Caenorhabditis elegans: one gene and its partner. The protein of the gene in region 1 interacts with the protein of each later gene in a pairwise test. Each region holds a gene or a part of one and is shown on either strand. Other genes may lie near its edges.

What was found. The genes of interacting proteins can lie anywhere in the genome.
Region 2: the proteins of emb-1 (region 1) and Y57A10A.24 interact in a two-hybrid assay, tested with the Caenorhabditis elegans proteins (one large-scale study listed by BioGRID).

The regions. Positions count from the first base shown.
Region 1 is NC_003281.10:5,170,044-5,175,810, reverse strand, and holds emb-1 (Anaphase-promoting complex subunit emb-1), read right to left. Parts: upstream 2,373-5,767; 5' UTR 2,366-2,372; coding exon 2,234-2,365; intron 2,165-2,233; coding exon 2,051-2,164; 3' UTR 2,002-2,050; downstream 1-2,001. Other genes in the region: cid-1 (4Fe-4S ferredoxin-type domain-containing protein), read right to left, coding at 1-179, 342-649, 700-862, 983-1,440, 1,738-1,819; K10D2.5 (uncharacterized protein), read right to left, coding at 2,575-2,712, 2,759-2,851, 2,896-3,021; prp-19 (Pre-mRNA-processing factor 19), read left to right, coding at 3,769-3,921, 4,018-4,756, 4,820-5,202, 5,252-5,455. UniProt on the Caenorhabditis elegans protein: Probable component of the anaphase promoting complex/cyclosome (APC/C), a cell cycle-regulated E3 ubiquitin ligase that controls progression through mitosis and the G1 phase of the cell cycle.
Region 2 is NC_003280.10:12,239,652-12,249,371, forward strand, and holds Y57A10A.24 (EB domain-containing protein), read left to right. Parts: upstream 1-3,294; 5' UTR 3,295-3,343; coding exon 3,344-3,606; intron 3,607-4,314; coding exon 4,315-4,434; intron 4,435-4,538; coding exon 4,539-4,724; intron 4,725-5,289; coding exon 5,290-5,424; intron 5,425-5,624; coding exon 5,625-5,831; intron 5,832-6,490; coding exon 6,491-6,600; intron 6,601-6,660; coding exon 6,661-6,775; intron 6,776-7,264; coding exon 7,265-7,609; intron 7,610-7,802; coding exon 7,803-7,884; 3' UTR 7,885-7,978; downstream 7,979-9,720. Other genes in the region: txdc-12.1 (Thioredoxin domain-containing protein), read left to right, coding at 737-944, 1,969-2,321; tag-276 (uncharacterized protein), read right to left, coding at 8,671-8,751, 9,032-9,427.

The DNA of each region.
Region 1 (5,767 bases):
GTTCCTTCAGGAATTGACATAGTATATGCCACATTGTAATCACTATCCGGAAGTGTGACGTCATATGTTACAGATCCAAATGGTCGAAGTATCACATCTTGCAATCCAATCGATGGGAATACTGTAGTACTCAAGTAATAGATGATTGTTTCACCGATCTCGATTCCATTTTGACGAACCTGAAAATACTTGACGAGAGAAGGGTTAGTTGAGAGAAAAATGATCGAAACCGGATAGAAAAAACGAAATTTTATTTCTGAATTTCAGCTTTTTAGAGAAAAATCACAATTTATCCTCCGTTAATTTCGTTTTTTTCCAATCCAGTTTCAAGATAATCTAACCTGTTGATACGATTTCAATGTTCCTTCCAAAACTTTTTCAACACTCTCTAAATGTGCTTCAGTCGGAGGTGGAATAATTTTCAAAAGATGCTCCCGTTGTTCCTGTCGCTTAACATCATCAAAATGTGTACTGCTCTCTAAGTGTGCTTTTGCGTGTCCGATTGTATTAATATGATAATCGCACTTTTCGCAATAGTATATGGCCTCTGGGAACGCTTCTAGACGATCGACAAGTTTCTTGATCAAACAAGAAGTCAGAAATCCCTCAGAACACTTTGAGAATGGAAATCTGTCGGATGAAGACTTTGCTGAAACTGTTGAGAAACAGTGAAATGAAATCGGAAAACTCAGTTCAAACCTTTCAAGAGATTCTCAATAGTTTCCCTGCAAGATTTTCTGATCGTCTTTTCATCTGCATCCAATTTCAACAGAGCTCCAGTTGTGATATTGTCATCTCCATGTTGTAATTTTACTTTGATGAATAGTCCATTGCACTTGCTCGTAGTTGGAGTAATCAACAGCTAAAAACTTGACTTTTAAAAATTAATTTCATACATTTTTTTGCTATTTTAAAGTTTAAAGTACGAATTTTGTTCTATTGGAATACAGCGAATGATTTTAATTTTTTATTCACAACTAACCGTAAAATTGTTATCAATTTGAATAGGTACATTCTTTTCCAACGGAAATGAGCTCATTGGATACTGGACAGTCTCTTGAAATGTTTGAGCCGACACGGCTGACCCGGCATTTTTGGAGAAATAATACTCTTGCGTCTGTTTTTTGTTGGCTTCTGCTTGTCGTCCAGCAACATTAATCGTTGTTTTCTCTGGAGTAGTAGGATTTGAATTCCATCCTTTCAATGAAGCTCCCGAATCGCCCAATTCAACAGCCATCAATGGTTGTACAGCGGCAACCAAGGGTCCTGGTGGCGCATTCCGATTTATTGGAGATGTTGGCTGAGAATCCTGATTTCGTTTCAGAATTGTGACTTTTTGAGGAACGATGTTCATTGGAGGACGATTTTGCGATGGATTTCTGCTCGTCTTTTGGGAGGAGGAAGCCGAATCAGCTGGACTGTTTGATGATCTTTTCCGGCCTGTAAGTTCAATGTTAGTTCAATATGAAAATTAAGAAAAAATGAAGAACACTCTGTTCGAAAATTGCTATAAAGTTTTCACTTTGTTTGATAAGAAAGTTGATAAATAAATAAAAGTGGCGTTTCTGCTAAAACTGTTCAATAACTTCAGGATTGATAAGGAAAAAGTTATAGTAGAGAGTGAATCAACGGTATTTTTGAATACTAAGAACAGTAAAACCTCAATCTTTAAGCAATACGAAGGGCCTAATATACTTCATTGTATGAATTTTTAAAAATGATTAGTCATGAACTCACCACTATTCTGGCTATTTCCTCCCCTTCCACCTCCAAGGGCTCCTCCTCTCCGCCTACTTCCAGACCTTTGCTCATCGGTCATCTCACAACTCTTTTTAATAATTACAGTACAATATTAATACCTATTATTCGGTTCGTCTTTCCCAATGAAACTGAAAAGAAGCGATTGAATAAAATCTGGAATAATTTGAGAACAAAATATTAAATTAGGTAATAACGAGGTCAGTACCTCGGAAATGAATTCCATAATTAAAAAAAATGGTATGCCAAATCGAGTTTTATTTACAGATAAATATGGTGTAGAATAGGGAATTCAAGGATTTGCAGGCATATTTGCTGCTGCATGGACAGCGTTCACATGACGTTGATCTTCACGAGTCAGAATAGCCACACTGTCTTGCAAGTGACGCAGAAGATCTTGATTATCCTGCAATAAATTTAGAATGAACAACAATGTACTTTTTCAGAAAAGTGTGATTTTGAAATAAAAACGTACCCATTGAGCTTGACGGTGCTCACAAATCGTGGTGATGAATGACTCTTTTGCTGGTGAGACTTCGGAAACCCACAAGTGCTCGGACCAGTTGAGTGGAGGTTGTGCTACGTGGAATGGGTACATCAAAGCCATACTTGATCTGTAAACGTGGTTTTTTGAATCAAAGTCATCTAAAAAACGGGCAAAAGTAAAATGAAGGTTGTTTCAGCCTATAATAATAAGAGATGTAAAAAGCAATGTATGAAAAAAAATAACCGTTTTATTTAACAACAAAAAAACACGATGTAACTGACACAACTTAAACAACCCGAAATTTGATCAAACTCCCGCTGAGATTTTAATTAATTCTTCAAAACGTGTCCGACGAATGGATATTTCCTAGCACAAATCGGTGCCCATTCAGGTCCACATCCTTCACTACTCTCGAAAAGATCGCGGTTGTTGTCATAGAGATCTTGTGAGCCAGAGAGGTCGTAAATCTGAAATAAACTTATTTTTTTGATAATCCGAAAAGTATTTTATTACTTTGTCTTCCACAATGACCAGGCACCTGTTCTCCTCGCGGCGCATGCTTTCGATTTCTTCCATTGTCATATCACGCTCTTCGAGCTGTTCGATCTGAGAAACAAAAATTCACATCCCAAGATTTATTTGCAAATTACCTCATATTTCGCTGGCTCATTGATTTTTGCAACAAGCATCCTTTTAACAATTTTATTCAAAGCCACGAGAAACACCACAAACACCGCAACATCGATGAAAGTGAGCTCATATTCCCCGATTTGCATTTTTTGGGAAGAAAATTCAAATCCAAATTATTTTTTCAAATCGTTTTTATTCCCCAGTCTCATGGCCGACATTTCTTCGGCCCCGCCCGGAAAAGCTGCAGCAAGTACGCTCCACTGCAGTTTTTCGAATTCTCATTGCATGGAATTCCTGAGACACCACGGTTTCAAGATCTGGTGGGATTCTCCGTTTTCCGGATCTACCATATCCGGATCTACGTTTTCCGGATCTACGTTTTCCGGATCTGGCACCGTGCCAACTCTTAAAACGCTATTTTTTCGAAGAAAAAAGTGACAACGACGCTGCGATGTTACGCGTCGCGTGTTCTTAAGCGTTTCTTCTAGAAGAAAATTTCGAAAAAAGTCGTGCGTTGAAAAGCGTTTTGTGCGTTGGCACGGTGCCAGATCCGGAAAACGTAGATCCGGAAAACGTAGATCCGGAAATGGTAGATCCGGAAAACGTAGATCCGGGATCCCATCAGATCTTGAAACCGTGGTGTCTCGAATTCCTTTGACTTGAAAACTTGCATTTTTTCATGAAAAACTGGTTAAAATTCTAGATTTTCTTTTAAAGACAAGTTTAAAACATTTGATCCAATGCGCCGTTCGATTAGTCACTAGCCAGAGTACGTATTTATTGACCACTCGTTCGATAAATGTAATTATCCTACAAAATTCGCATTGAAACTTTCTTCGTTTATGTCCCACGTCAATCAAGCGGTTTCGTGTATATTTTGCTACTTTCAGGAGATGTCTTTCGTGTGCGGAATCAGTGGTGAACTGACCGAAGACCCAGTCGTCTCTCAAGTCTCAGGGCACATCTTTGATCGTCGGCTGATCGTTAAATTCATTGCCGAAAACGGAACAGATCCGATCAGCCATGGAGAGCTTTCTGAAGACCAGGTTTGTCAACCTTGCAATTATCTTCACTGACGTGAAACTTCGAAATGATAATTCATTGAAAAAACAAAATAATAATTTCTAAAATTCATTTTTTAGCTCGTTTCATTGAAAAGTGGCGGCACTGGATCAGCACCACGCAATGTCTCTGGAACATCCATCCCATCTCTACTAAAAATGCTTCAAGACGAGTGGGATACAGTAATGCTCAACAGCTTCTCTCTCCGACAACAACTCCAAATTGCTCGTCAAGAACTTTCTCACTCTCTGTACCAACACGATGCCGCTTGTCGTGTTATTTCCCGCCTCTCCAAAGAATTGACCGCTGCTAGAGAAGCATTGTCTACTTTGAAACCACACACATCGGCGAAAGTTGACGATGATGTCAGCATTGACGAGTCTGAAGATCAACAAGGTCTTAGTGAGGCAATTCTGGCAAAACTTGAAGAGAAATCAAAGAGTCTGACTGCTGAACGTAAACAACGAGGAAAAAATCTTCCTGAAGGACTTGCCAAAACAGAAGAGCTCGCCGAGCTGAAACAGACAGCATCTCACACTGGAATTCATTCGACTGGAACTCCTGGAATTACTGCATTGGATATCAAGGGAAATTTGTCACTTACCGGAGGAATTGATAAAACCGTTGTCTTGTATGACTATGAAAAGGAACAGGTTATGCAAACATTCAAGGGGCATAACAAGAAGATCAACGCAGTTGTTTTGCATCCGGATAATATTACTGCAATCTCTGCTTCTGCTGATTCACATATTAGAGTCTGGAGTGCAACTGATTCGTCTTCGAAGGCTATTATTGATGTCCATCAGGCACCCGTTACAGGTGAGATATTTGAAAAAAATTCGCTAGCTGTAATTCTTCTATTGAACAAACAATGTTTTACAGATATCTCCCTCAATGCATCCGGTGATTACATTCTCTCCGCTTCTGATGATTCTTACTGGGCATTCTCCGACATTCGTTCCGGAAAATCGCTTTGCAAGGTTTCAGTTGAACCAGGATCACAAATTGCCGTTCATTCCATCGAGTTCCATCCTGATGGTCTTATTTTTGGAACTGGAGCTGCGGATGCCGTTGTGAAGATTTGGGATTTGAAGAATCAAACCGTGGCTGCTGCATTCCCGGGACATACTGCTGCCGTTCGTTCGATTGCGTTTTCTGAAAACGGATATTATTTGGCTACGGGATCAGAGGATGGAGAGGTCAAATTATGGGATCTTAGAAAATTGAAGAATCTGAAAACTTTCGCTAACGAAGAGAAACAACCGGTAAGAAATTGTTAAGCAAATGTTTAATGAAAAAATATAATTTTTTCAGATCAACTCCCTGTCCTTCGACATGACTGGAACATTCCTAGGAATTGGTGGCCAAAAAGTTCAAGTTTTGCATGTGAAGAGCTGGAGTGAAGTTGTATCACTTTCTGATCATTCTGGACCAGTCACTGGAGTTAGATTCGGAGAAAATGCTCGTTCATTGGTGACGTGTTCATTGGATAAGAGTCTCCGAGTATTCTCTTTCTAATTGTTTTTATTACCATTTATTACTAAGTTATTCAAAATTTCACCACATTTTTCCCGTTTCGTTTCCTTGTTTTTTTTGTATTCCGGATTGTTCAGTCAAGTTGAAAATATTCCCATCTATAGAAAAGCTGACAAACTATTATTCTTTCTCCATCTCTCGTTACCATATATTATCGATTCCAAAAATTCTCCTTTTCACTGTGAATCAACAAAAAAAAAAGAGTTGATTGGCTGTCTTCCTGTGGTGAGATCTCTTTCTATTTTTATCTATTGGATTTTATTTTGTTCACATTTATCTTTTTAACAGTTCAAC
Region 2 (9,720 bases), on another chromosome or scaffold:
ATAATGACCTCAATATCTTGATCTGTTTCTTCTTTTCTCCATCATTCGTCATACCTTTCACTTTTAGAGGTGGTTTTTTATACAGCTTTTCTAATACAAAGGATAGTGATATTAAAAAATTCTAGTTTTAGATTATTAACAACGGGATTGCATAGAAAAAGTTTCTTTTTCGACATTTTTTCGTAAAACGGGCATTAAATGAATAACACAACAATTATATAGTTCTGTTATAAAACAACAAGTAGTATGTTTTATAACAGAACTTTATAATCGTTGTGTTTTTATAACAGCAATGGCTTTTAAACGCTGGAAAAAAAAGGTCACAACAGTTCATTTTCAAGCTTAGTCTTAGTCTTAGTCTTAGGCTTAGGCTTAGCCTTAGCCTTAGTTTTAGGCCCGGGTTCAGGCTTAGCCTTAGGCTTAGGCTTTGGCTTAGTCTTAGGCTTAGTCTTAGGATTAGTCTTAGGCTTAGGCTTAGGCATAGGTGGGGCTGGGGGATTATTTTAATTTTTTTTTTTGAAAATTATCAGAAATTTTTTACATTCAATTAAACAAATTGTAGTGAATATTTTGAGTTGTGTAAAAATGATATTTTTCACAACAGTAATAATATTTAAATTATACATATAAACCACATTAATAACGTTTTTTTTAAGTATCTGATCACTTTTTTTTGCATGCTAAACTTATATTTTCTGTTTAGTATAAAACTCCATCCAATTCCCCGTTGTTCCAGATGAGATCCCTTCTCCTCTTGGCACTTGTGAGTGCGTCGGCGTACGCGAGTTTCGACAAGATCAAGGATTCTATTCAAAACCCATTGGCACGTGGATTTGGTGACGATATTGCGTGGGTCAAGTGGGAAGATGCAATTGAGACTGCTTTGGATACTGATAAGCCAATCTTCTTGTTGATCCACAAGTCTTGGTGCCATGCTTGCAAAGGTAAGAGCGGCAGTTGAGAAAATTTAGGCAATTTCTTATAATACGTGTGGTATCACACTGTCCCATCACGGTTTGATCTACAAAAAATGCGGGAATTTTTTGCTCTAAAAATGCGACGTCAGCAGGTTCTTAATCATGCGAAATCATTTGAGAACTCTGCGACTCTTCTCCCGCATTTTTTGTAGATCTAGGTAGATCAAGCCGAAGTGAGACACCCTGACACCGCGTGATTGATTACATGCTTCACTAATAATTTGAAATTTAATCATTTTATTCAACAAGTTAGTCCAATAGAGCGCACATTCACATGTCCCTTCCCCACTGCAGCTTCGATTTTCTCTCCGGGTAACCGACCAAAGACAAGAAAGGAGAGGGATTTATTCATCCTTGACACACTTTTTTTTATTAATTCAAAGAATGGTGTCAGAACACCTTGTAAACCACAAAGCTTGTACATATAGTTTTCAAGGGAAAAATCGGGAAATTCAATTGATATTTTTCGAAAATTGCAAAAAAAAACGTGCAAAATTTTGAATTAAGAAAAATGCACATTTGTACAAATTTTGGGAAATTCAAAAATTTTCACGTGATGGGACCCGTGTGTGGGCGAACCACAGTTTAAATTTGATGTAAAATAATATTTATAATTTTTATGACTCAACATTTGAAACTTTAAACATAATTGTATTCGTTTAAAAATTTGTGAAAAAATTGAAAATTGGTTTTAAAAAATTTGAAGTTTAAATATTTCAAGTCCAGAAAATCCAATGCGAGAAAAAACCTCAAAATTTTTTTAAAAATTCCAAAAATTATATAAAAAATTATTTTAAAGCTTTCAAAAATTCAATAAAAATTCCAAACAAATTCCACTAATCTGAAAAAAGGATAAAATCTATTGGGGTCCTAAGCCTAAGTTTGAGCCTAAGTCTAAGTGTAAGGCTACGACTAAGCCTAAGCCCAAGCTGTAGCTTACGTCTAAGCCTAATTTTTAAATGTTTCAATTTCGAATTTTCAAATTTTCCAGCTCTCAAGAAGACCTTCCAACAATCCAACGCCAAGAAAGCCTTCAAAAAGCTCTCAGAGCACTTTGTAATGGTTAACACCGAAGACGACGACGAGCCATTCGAGGAGGAGTACCGTCCAGACGGAAAGTACATTCCACGTCTGCTTTTCCTCGACAAAAATGGAGATCTTCTTCAAGAATTCAAAAATAAGAAGGCCGAATACAAAAATTACGCGTATTACTACTCATCACCAGCTGATATCCTTAACTCTATGAAGGATGTGCTTAAACATTTTGGAGTTGACATTCCAGAGGCTAAGAGAGGTGATAAGCTTAAGCCAAAGAAGCCAGAGGGAAAGAAGAAGGAATTGTAAGAATAGAGATTGTTTTATTGATTTATTGATTGATTTTCAGCTAATTTATTTCTTATCATTTCTTTGCCAATCTTGTTAACTATTATTAATTATTATCACGAATAAACTGGTTCTCGATACGTCGGTTTTTACGAAAAATTTAAATTCGCGCCAAAAACCTTTTCGAAACCTCGAAAAAATTTTAAAAATCTTATGAAAATTGCATTTTGTGCCTGAAAATTTTTAGCCAATTTTTTAGAAAAAAAAAAAGTTTTAGGAAAATCTGTGACATTTTGAAAAATTCAGGAAAGTTTGAAATTCCAGCCAAAAAACTTTTGAAAACTAATTTTTTGAAAAAACTAATTTTTTGAAATTTTTGAATTTTGCATTCATTTGAAATTGACTTAGGCATAGGCTTAGGTCTAGGCTTAGGCTTAGTCTCAGGCTTAGGCTCAGGCCTACGCTTAGACGTAGGCTTAGGCTTTGGTTTAGGCTCAGGCTTTTTTCGGTGATTTTAGAAAATCTGAAAAGCTTTTTGAAGTTTAAATCTGAACAAAATTTTTTTTGTTTGAAAAAATTTATAATTTCATGAATTTTTGAATTTTGCTCTCGATAATTGTTTAATTTAAAAAAATTCAAAAAAAATTTGAATTTTGCCACAAAATAGGAGATTTAAAATACACCGCCCACATATTGGTTCAAATCTAAATCAAGGCTTTCATGGGAGGCAGGCGCGGTTTCAGGGCCTGACGCCTGTCTGCCCGCCTGCCTTCCGCCGCGGCCGACACTTTTCGGGTTCCGCACTATACAGAAGGCCCGAGGCAGGTGAAGGTCGCCGCAAGGTAGGCACACCAGGCCTTTTGGCGCCTACATGGAAGGATTAATCAAAACCAGTTTCCTAAGGGATTAAGAAACTTTCTCTCCTTCCCTATATTTGAGTAGTTATGTAAACATCCTCATATTCAGAATATGTCACGTCTCTTCTCCAATGTTCCGAATTATTTTCCTCTTATACATCGTCGGGTCATTTCTCTACCAGCAATATGAATTCGCAGTTTGAATTTCGAAATTTAGTTCTAAATTCCCAATTTCTTTGGATTTTTCTAATAAATCTTATCACCTCTGCCAATTCTGAAGCCCTAGCTTCTCCTTATCAGTATCTGAAGGATCTTTGCCCTGTTGGACAGCTTCCACTAACGGATACGGAGCACGTGAAGACGTGTGCAAGCTTATGTCCTCTTGGAGCATTTTGTCATAGGGGTATATGTTGTGTACCGCCACCGCAGTGCAGGCATCCGGCTTATAGGTGAGGAAATTTTTTTTTGAATTTTGTGTTAAACTTCGCAGATTATATATTGTTTTTTGAAAACAAATAATTTTATTTTACCGCCAAATTGTTTTTAAATGTTTTCAAATATTTAAAATTGGCGCCAATTTTTTTTGAAGTTTTTGGAATATTTAAGTTTGGCGCCAAAATTGTTTTGCAATTTTTAAATAATTTAATTTGACGTCACAATGTTTTAAAATTTTTAAAATATTTAAATCTGGCGCCACTTTTTAAAATTTTTTTTAAATATTTAAAATTGGCGCCAAATTTGTTTTGCAAGTTTTTAAATATTTAAATTTGGCGCCAACTTTTTTTGTTGATATTTTTGAATTATTTAAAATTGGCGCAAAAATTGTTCTGAAATTTTTTTAATATTTAAAATTGGCGCTAAATTTTTTTTGCAATTTCTAAAAAATTAAATTTAGCACCATTTTTTGAAATTTCTTTTAATATTTAAATTGGGCGCCAATTATTTTTGTTGATATTTTTGAAATATCTAAATTTGGCGAAAATTGAAATTTTAAAATTTCTGTCAAAATTATCAAAAAAAAAAATTATATCAAAAAAATTAAAACTTGAAGCTTGCCCCAACTATTTTAAAGATTCAAAAACTGAAAGTCGCGCCAAAGTTGCTAAAAATCTGAAATTTTGAATTTCGCGCCAAAAATATTTGAACTCAAACTTCAGGATGTCTACCGGCTTTCCATGTCTTCCAAAACGTAAGAATAACTGCCCAGATGGATCATTTTGTGTATCAAGTAGTCAGGATGGAATGTCGATATGCTGCTCAAACAGGAGCATTGAAAAGTTGGTGATTTTAAGCTCCGCCCACTTCTTGGTTTTCTGGGAGAAGAAGACCATTCTAAAATAAAAACTATAACTACAAATAAAATAAATCCATATTTTTACAGAAGTTTCCCGATAACATCACAATTAAAACTCTCCAAATCTGCACCGTTCCCAAAGGAAAAGCCGATGCAAAAATCCACGTCATCACTGATGACGTCACTAGACTCCTCCCAAATCTGTCCGAAATCCCATCCAATTATTGCACATGATGGGAAATCTCTGGTTTTGTGCAAGGATTGTGTTCAGGGGTTAGTTTTGGACTGCGTTTTAAAAATTAAAAAATTTATTTTTAAACGAAAATGTTACCTAAACTCGAAATTTACAATTTTTGCACCAAAAAACTGGAGAAAAATTTTTAGTGCCCAAAAAAATTATTTTTGAACATTTCAAATTTTTTTAGATTTTTCAGAAAGTTCACATAATATTGAAGATTTTGATTTTGTAAATTTGAACAAAAGCATAAAACTGTTTGTATCACAAATTAAATTTTTTTAACATTTGAACATTTTGGGTCCCACCACGATAAGTTTCAGAACCGATATTTTCCTGGAAACTGTTATAGAAAAAAAGTAAAAATTCAGATTTATTTCGGGGTACCCCGAATTCAAACAAAATATCATAATATGAAAAAAATTTTTAAATCAAACGTTAAATAATATTTCGAATTTTTGGGTCCCACCACAAAAGCTTTTTTGCCGAAAATTTTGTGAAAAAAATTGGCAAAATTGTATGTATGATGCTTTAAATTTAACATTTCAACTAATTTAAAAAAATTAAATTCGAAAATTTTTTTTTCAAATTCTATATTTTCAGAGTTTGCGCAAAATTCCGCACCAGTAACGTAGAGGTATGCTGTCAAAGTTCTGACGATATTTGTGGTGTTGGAAGTCAAATTTTGATGAATGGATTGGTGCCGAGGGACTGTAACAAGAAGCCATGTGGGATGGGGTAAGTGAATTTTACAGCTCAAGCCATGCTCTTAAAATAGCCAGGAGCTAATTTTTTTTGCTCGAAACTTTCCGAAAAACATCTAAAACTTGGAATCAATTTTTTGATTTTTTGAAAATTAAAGTTGAAATTTCACAAAAATTTTTAAACATTTTCAGAACTTCTAAACTAAAATTGCACCGCAAATTTCAAATTTCCAGCTACGAATGTTCGCTAACCCCGACGGGTCTTCGTGTATGTTGTTCGTTAGCCCAATGCCCGTCAGGAGTGTTTGCGAGAAGTGTGTGCGCAGCCGGATGTTTGAGAAATGAAAAGTGCATGGAAATTCAGAATGAGATGTGGTGTTGTCCATCCGAGGAATCATTCGGTTCAAGAATTGAGATGGTTTGTAGGAATGGGGAGAATGGGTAAGTTACTACATTGTACTGTAGTACTGTATACTGTATAGTGTACTGTTGGGGTACTGTAGCTCAGTTTCCGTTTGTCAAAAATTATCAAAAAATTTAATTCAGTGTTTATCATCCAGAAAATAGCCTTAATATACCGAGTATAACTGTAGAAAAATTTATGGAATTTCTCTAAATTTTTCTAAATTTTTAACGATTTTTTTTCAATTTTGCAAAAATATTTGATTTATAACACTAAAAACTATTCAAATGCCAGAAAATGGAGCCGTAATGACCAAATATATCTGGAAAATTTTTAAATAAATTTTCTAATTTTTTAAAATGATTTTTCGTCAATTTTTAAAAAATCTAAGAAACGGCCGAATTAAATTTGAATTCCCGCGCAAACCATATATTTCGGCCGTTTTTTAAATTGTTGAATAATTGAAAAATCATTTTAACAAATTCGAAATTTTTTTATTAGGTGCTTCTATTGAATTTTTCTACAGTTACATTCGGTATATTGAAACTATTTTATGTCATTTAGAGCAAAAAAAACTTCCAAAAATTTTATTTCCTCGAGTTTTTTTAAAATTTCAAATGTACTTGATTGTCTAGATTACTGTAGAAATGCTTATGACTCAATTACAAAAAAATCCCAGTATTGATTCTTATTCCAGAACCGGTGAAAAATGTGACCCAGCTTTTCCGGCGTGCTCACAAGGAGCATTTTGTGAGCTGAACAAGGAGAAGACCGCCCATATTTGCTGTAAGCGGTATAAAAATCGACGTGAGTATTTTATTGCTTAAACCTATAAAAACTAAAATTCAAGAAAAAAAAAAATTTCAGTCGGCAACAGCCGTAAAACCCTTCTACCCCCTCCATTCTACTACACTACAACTACTATGAAGGCTCCCATAACCATAGCCACAACTACTGCAGAACCATACCCTTTTGAATCTGTGTAGGTTGCTTAATTAAAGGCAAAGTAGCGCCAGAGGGGAAAGTGTTTAAAACTACTCCATTGGTGTCAAAATGATCGAATATCATTTTAAAAAATTTCAAAAAATTTTTGAAATTTTTTTATTTATTATCAAAAAGTGACAATTACTCAGTTTTTGCCACTCATAATTTTGGAAGTCAACCAAAAAAAAATTTTTTTCTACATTTTTTATACTGTAATTTTTTTTTAATTATTTGTATTAAAAAATTGTAGGGGTTGGAACATGCGAAATTGCTTTGGATTTCCTCAAAGGCTCATATTTTTCAAAATGTTTGCAATTTTCCAAAACTGACCGGGAATAATGAAAAATCTAAAAATTTTTGGACTGTTTGTTAATGATATTTGGTCATTTGAAATAATTTTAAGTGTATTTAGACACAATCCCCACTGGCGTTACTTTACTTTTAAACCATCAAAGGTATCTTAATCATATCTTAATATTTATTACAGTCCAAACTGCCAAGACCCTGAAGCCCGTCCACTCATGGAAAACGGCTTCCCATACATTTGTGATCATATCGGAGATCCGTGTATTCTTCGATCAGGATATTCGTGTCAAGAATCTGATATTGATGATGTCTATGTGTGTTGTACTATTCAAATGAACCGAATCCTTCCACCACAGATTCCAATGATTGGGCCATTTACGTTTATGACGTCATCAACTACTACAACTACTGAGAAGCCGATTGAAGAGGAAGAAGTGATTGCGCAGCCGACATGCCCATTTTCATATATGCCGTCGAAAAATGTTAATCAAGATGTGCAGCGTTGTCTATCACTGTTTACGTTGGAGTGAGTTCCAGAAAAATAAAAAATAAAAAATTTTTTTCGATTGTTTTTTGAAACTCTAAAAATCAGTATTATCTTATTATCTTTATCCAATTTTTTAAAATTTTTTTTTAAATCGGAATTAAAAAAATTCTAACATACATATATTGTTGAAAACGTTTAACGTTCAAAAATCGATATTTTAAAATAATTCCAGCTGCCCACTCGGCTACACGTGTCTACCATCTTCCACTACCGACAGTTATCTATGTTGTATTCGGAAGCCTGTGGTCTATTAGGCTTAATTATTGATTTTTGTTTTTTTTTTCGAATATTTGTGCCAATTCTATATTTTTTAAATATTTTTTTAGCTAATGAACATGTTTTCAAACAGTTTAATTTAAAAACAGCCTAATACAAAAACTTGGAAAACTAAGCCTAAGCCTAAGCCTAACCCTAAGCCTAAGCCTACACCTAAGACTACACCTAAGCCTAAGCCTAAGCCTATGCCCAAGTCTAAGACTAAGCCTAAGCCTAAGCCTAGGCCTAGGATAATGAGAGCATTTTCAGACTGCTCTATAAAGCCAAACAAAGATTTTGCAATAATTCATAACGCATTCGATTCACAATAACAAGTTCTTTAATAAAACTATAAAAATGTAAAAAGTTAGGAGTCAAATTTTTATTTATTTAACACTGAAAAATTGGAGTGTGTAGATAATGAGAGCATTTTCAGACTATGTTTTTTCAGAGCTGACGCCAAGCTTATGCCTAAGCCCAAGCCTACGCCTAAGCAAAAGCCATAATTCTGAAAATCTAAATTCAAATGTTAGCATCCAAGTCTGGGCTCAACGGTCCAAGCCTGAAAGCTTAAAAACCTAAAGCCTGAATATTTTTGCAAACATAAGTAAACTGAATTGAAGTTTTATCTGTGATGTACAGTTTTAATTGACAAGAAACATTGCAATCGGGATTAGTTTTTTTGAAAAACTGGATAATAAAAATGAGGGAAAATTAGTTGAAAACACAAGAAAATAATGACAGATTATGAAAAATTGGCAACGAATATAATAAGTTTGGTAAAATTATACGACTGGGGAGGAAGAAGCCGACGATTCTTCGGATGAAGAGGAGCTTGATGGTGACGTGGATGATTGTTTTGTAGTCTGGAAAGTATTAGTTTAGGTGGTTTGGTCAGGTTTAGAAATTTTTTTTTAAATTTAATTTGGTGCGAAATTTTATTTTTATTTTTCAGGCCAAATTTACGGCGCAAAATCGGTGTAGATTTTTTATTTTGAAATTTTTTTAAATTGCAATTTAACTTAATATGTAGGTATTTTAAGTACAAAAATAATCGAAAATTATTTTATTATTTTAAAAATTGAGTTCGTTTTCAGAAAATTAAAAAGTTCTCAGCAAAATTTTAAAATAACAACAAAAACTAACCTTGGAGAAATTTTCCGCTTCCTTTTGCAAATCCGCAAAAATATTGAGCACATTGGCGAAGAGCACCTTGTTCTTCGAAGCCTCCCGCATCTTTTGCTCCACAACATCCTGCTCCAACTCCTGAGCAGCGAGACGACGAAGCTTCTGGAGCAACAAGTTGACTGGGTACTGGTACTCATACCGTCCATCATACTGGCTCTTGACAATTTGCTCGGTACGGCATTCCCGGAATACTCGAATCGGGCAGTCGAGGAAGAGAAGACACTCCAGTGCATAGTACCGGTTGTGCTCTTTGAGCAAGTAGTCAGTGTATTTTCTGACTTGTTGAGCAGGGCTCAGTGGAGCTGGGACTCTTGGGAGAGCAGCATTGGAGACCGGCTTGGTGTGAGATGGCATTTAGAATGAGTTAAATAAAAGGTGAGAGAAGAACTGAGATATGTGGTTAAGAATGACACTAACCTAGACCTAACCCTGTAGGACGCTGCAATTTGGCAACAACAAAAAATCGATATATGGGCGGGGGGGAATGGGCTATGCAACGTGGCAATGGGAAAGCAGAAGGAAACAATGGTTATTGATTGGTTTACGATTGTGAATATATAAATTTGGTACATACGTACATTTTTGTTTGAGAAATAAGGGAGGGTTCTCCCTGAGGAACATGGAAAAAAGTTGTCAAAATTTAGGGG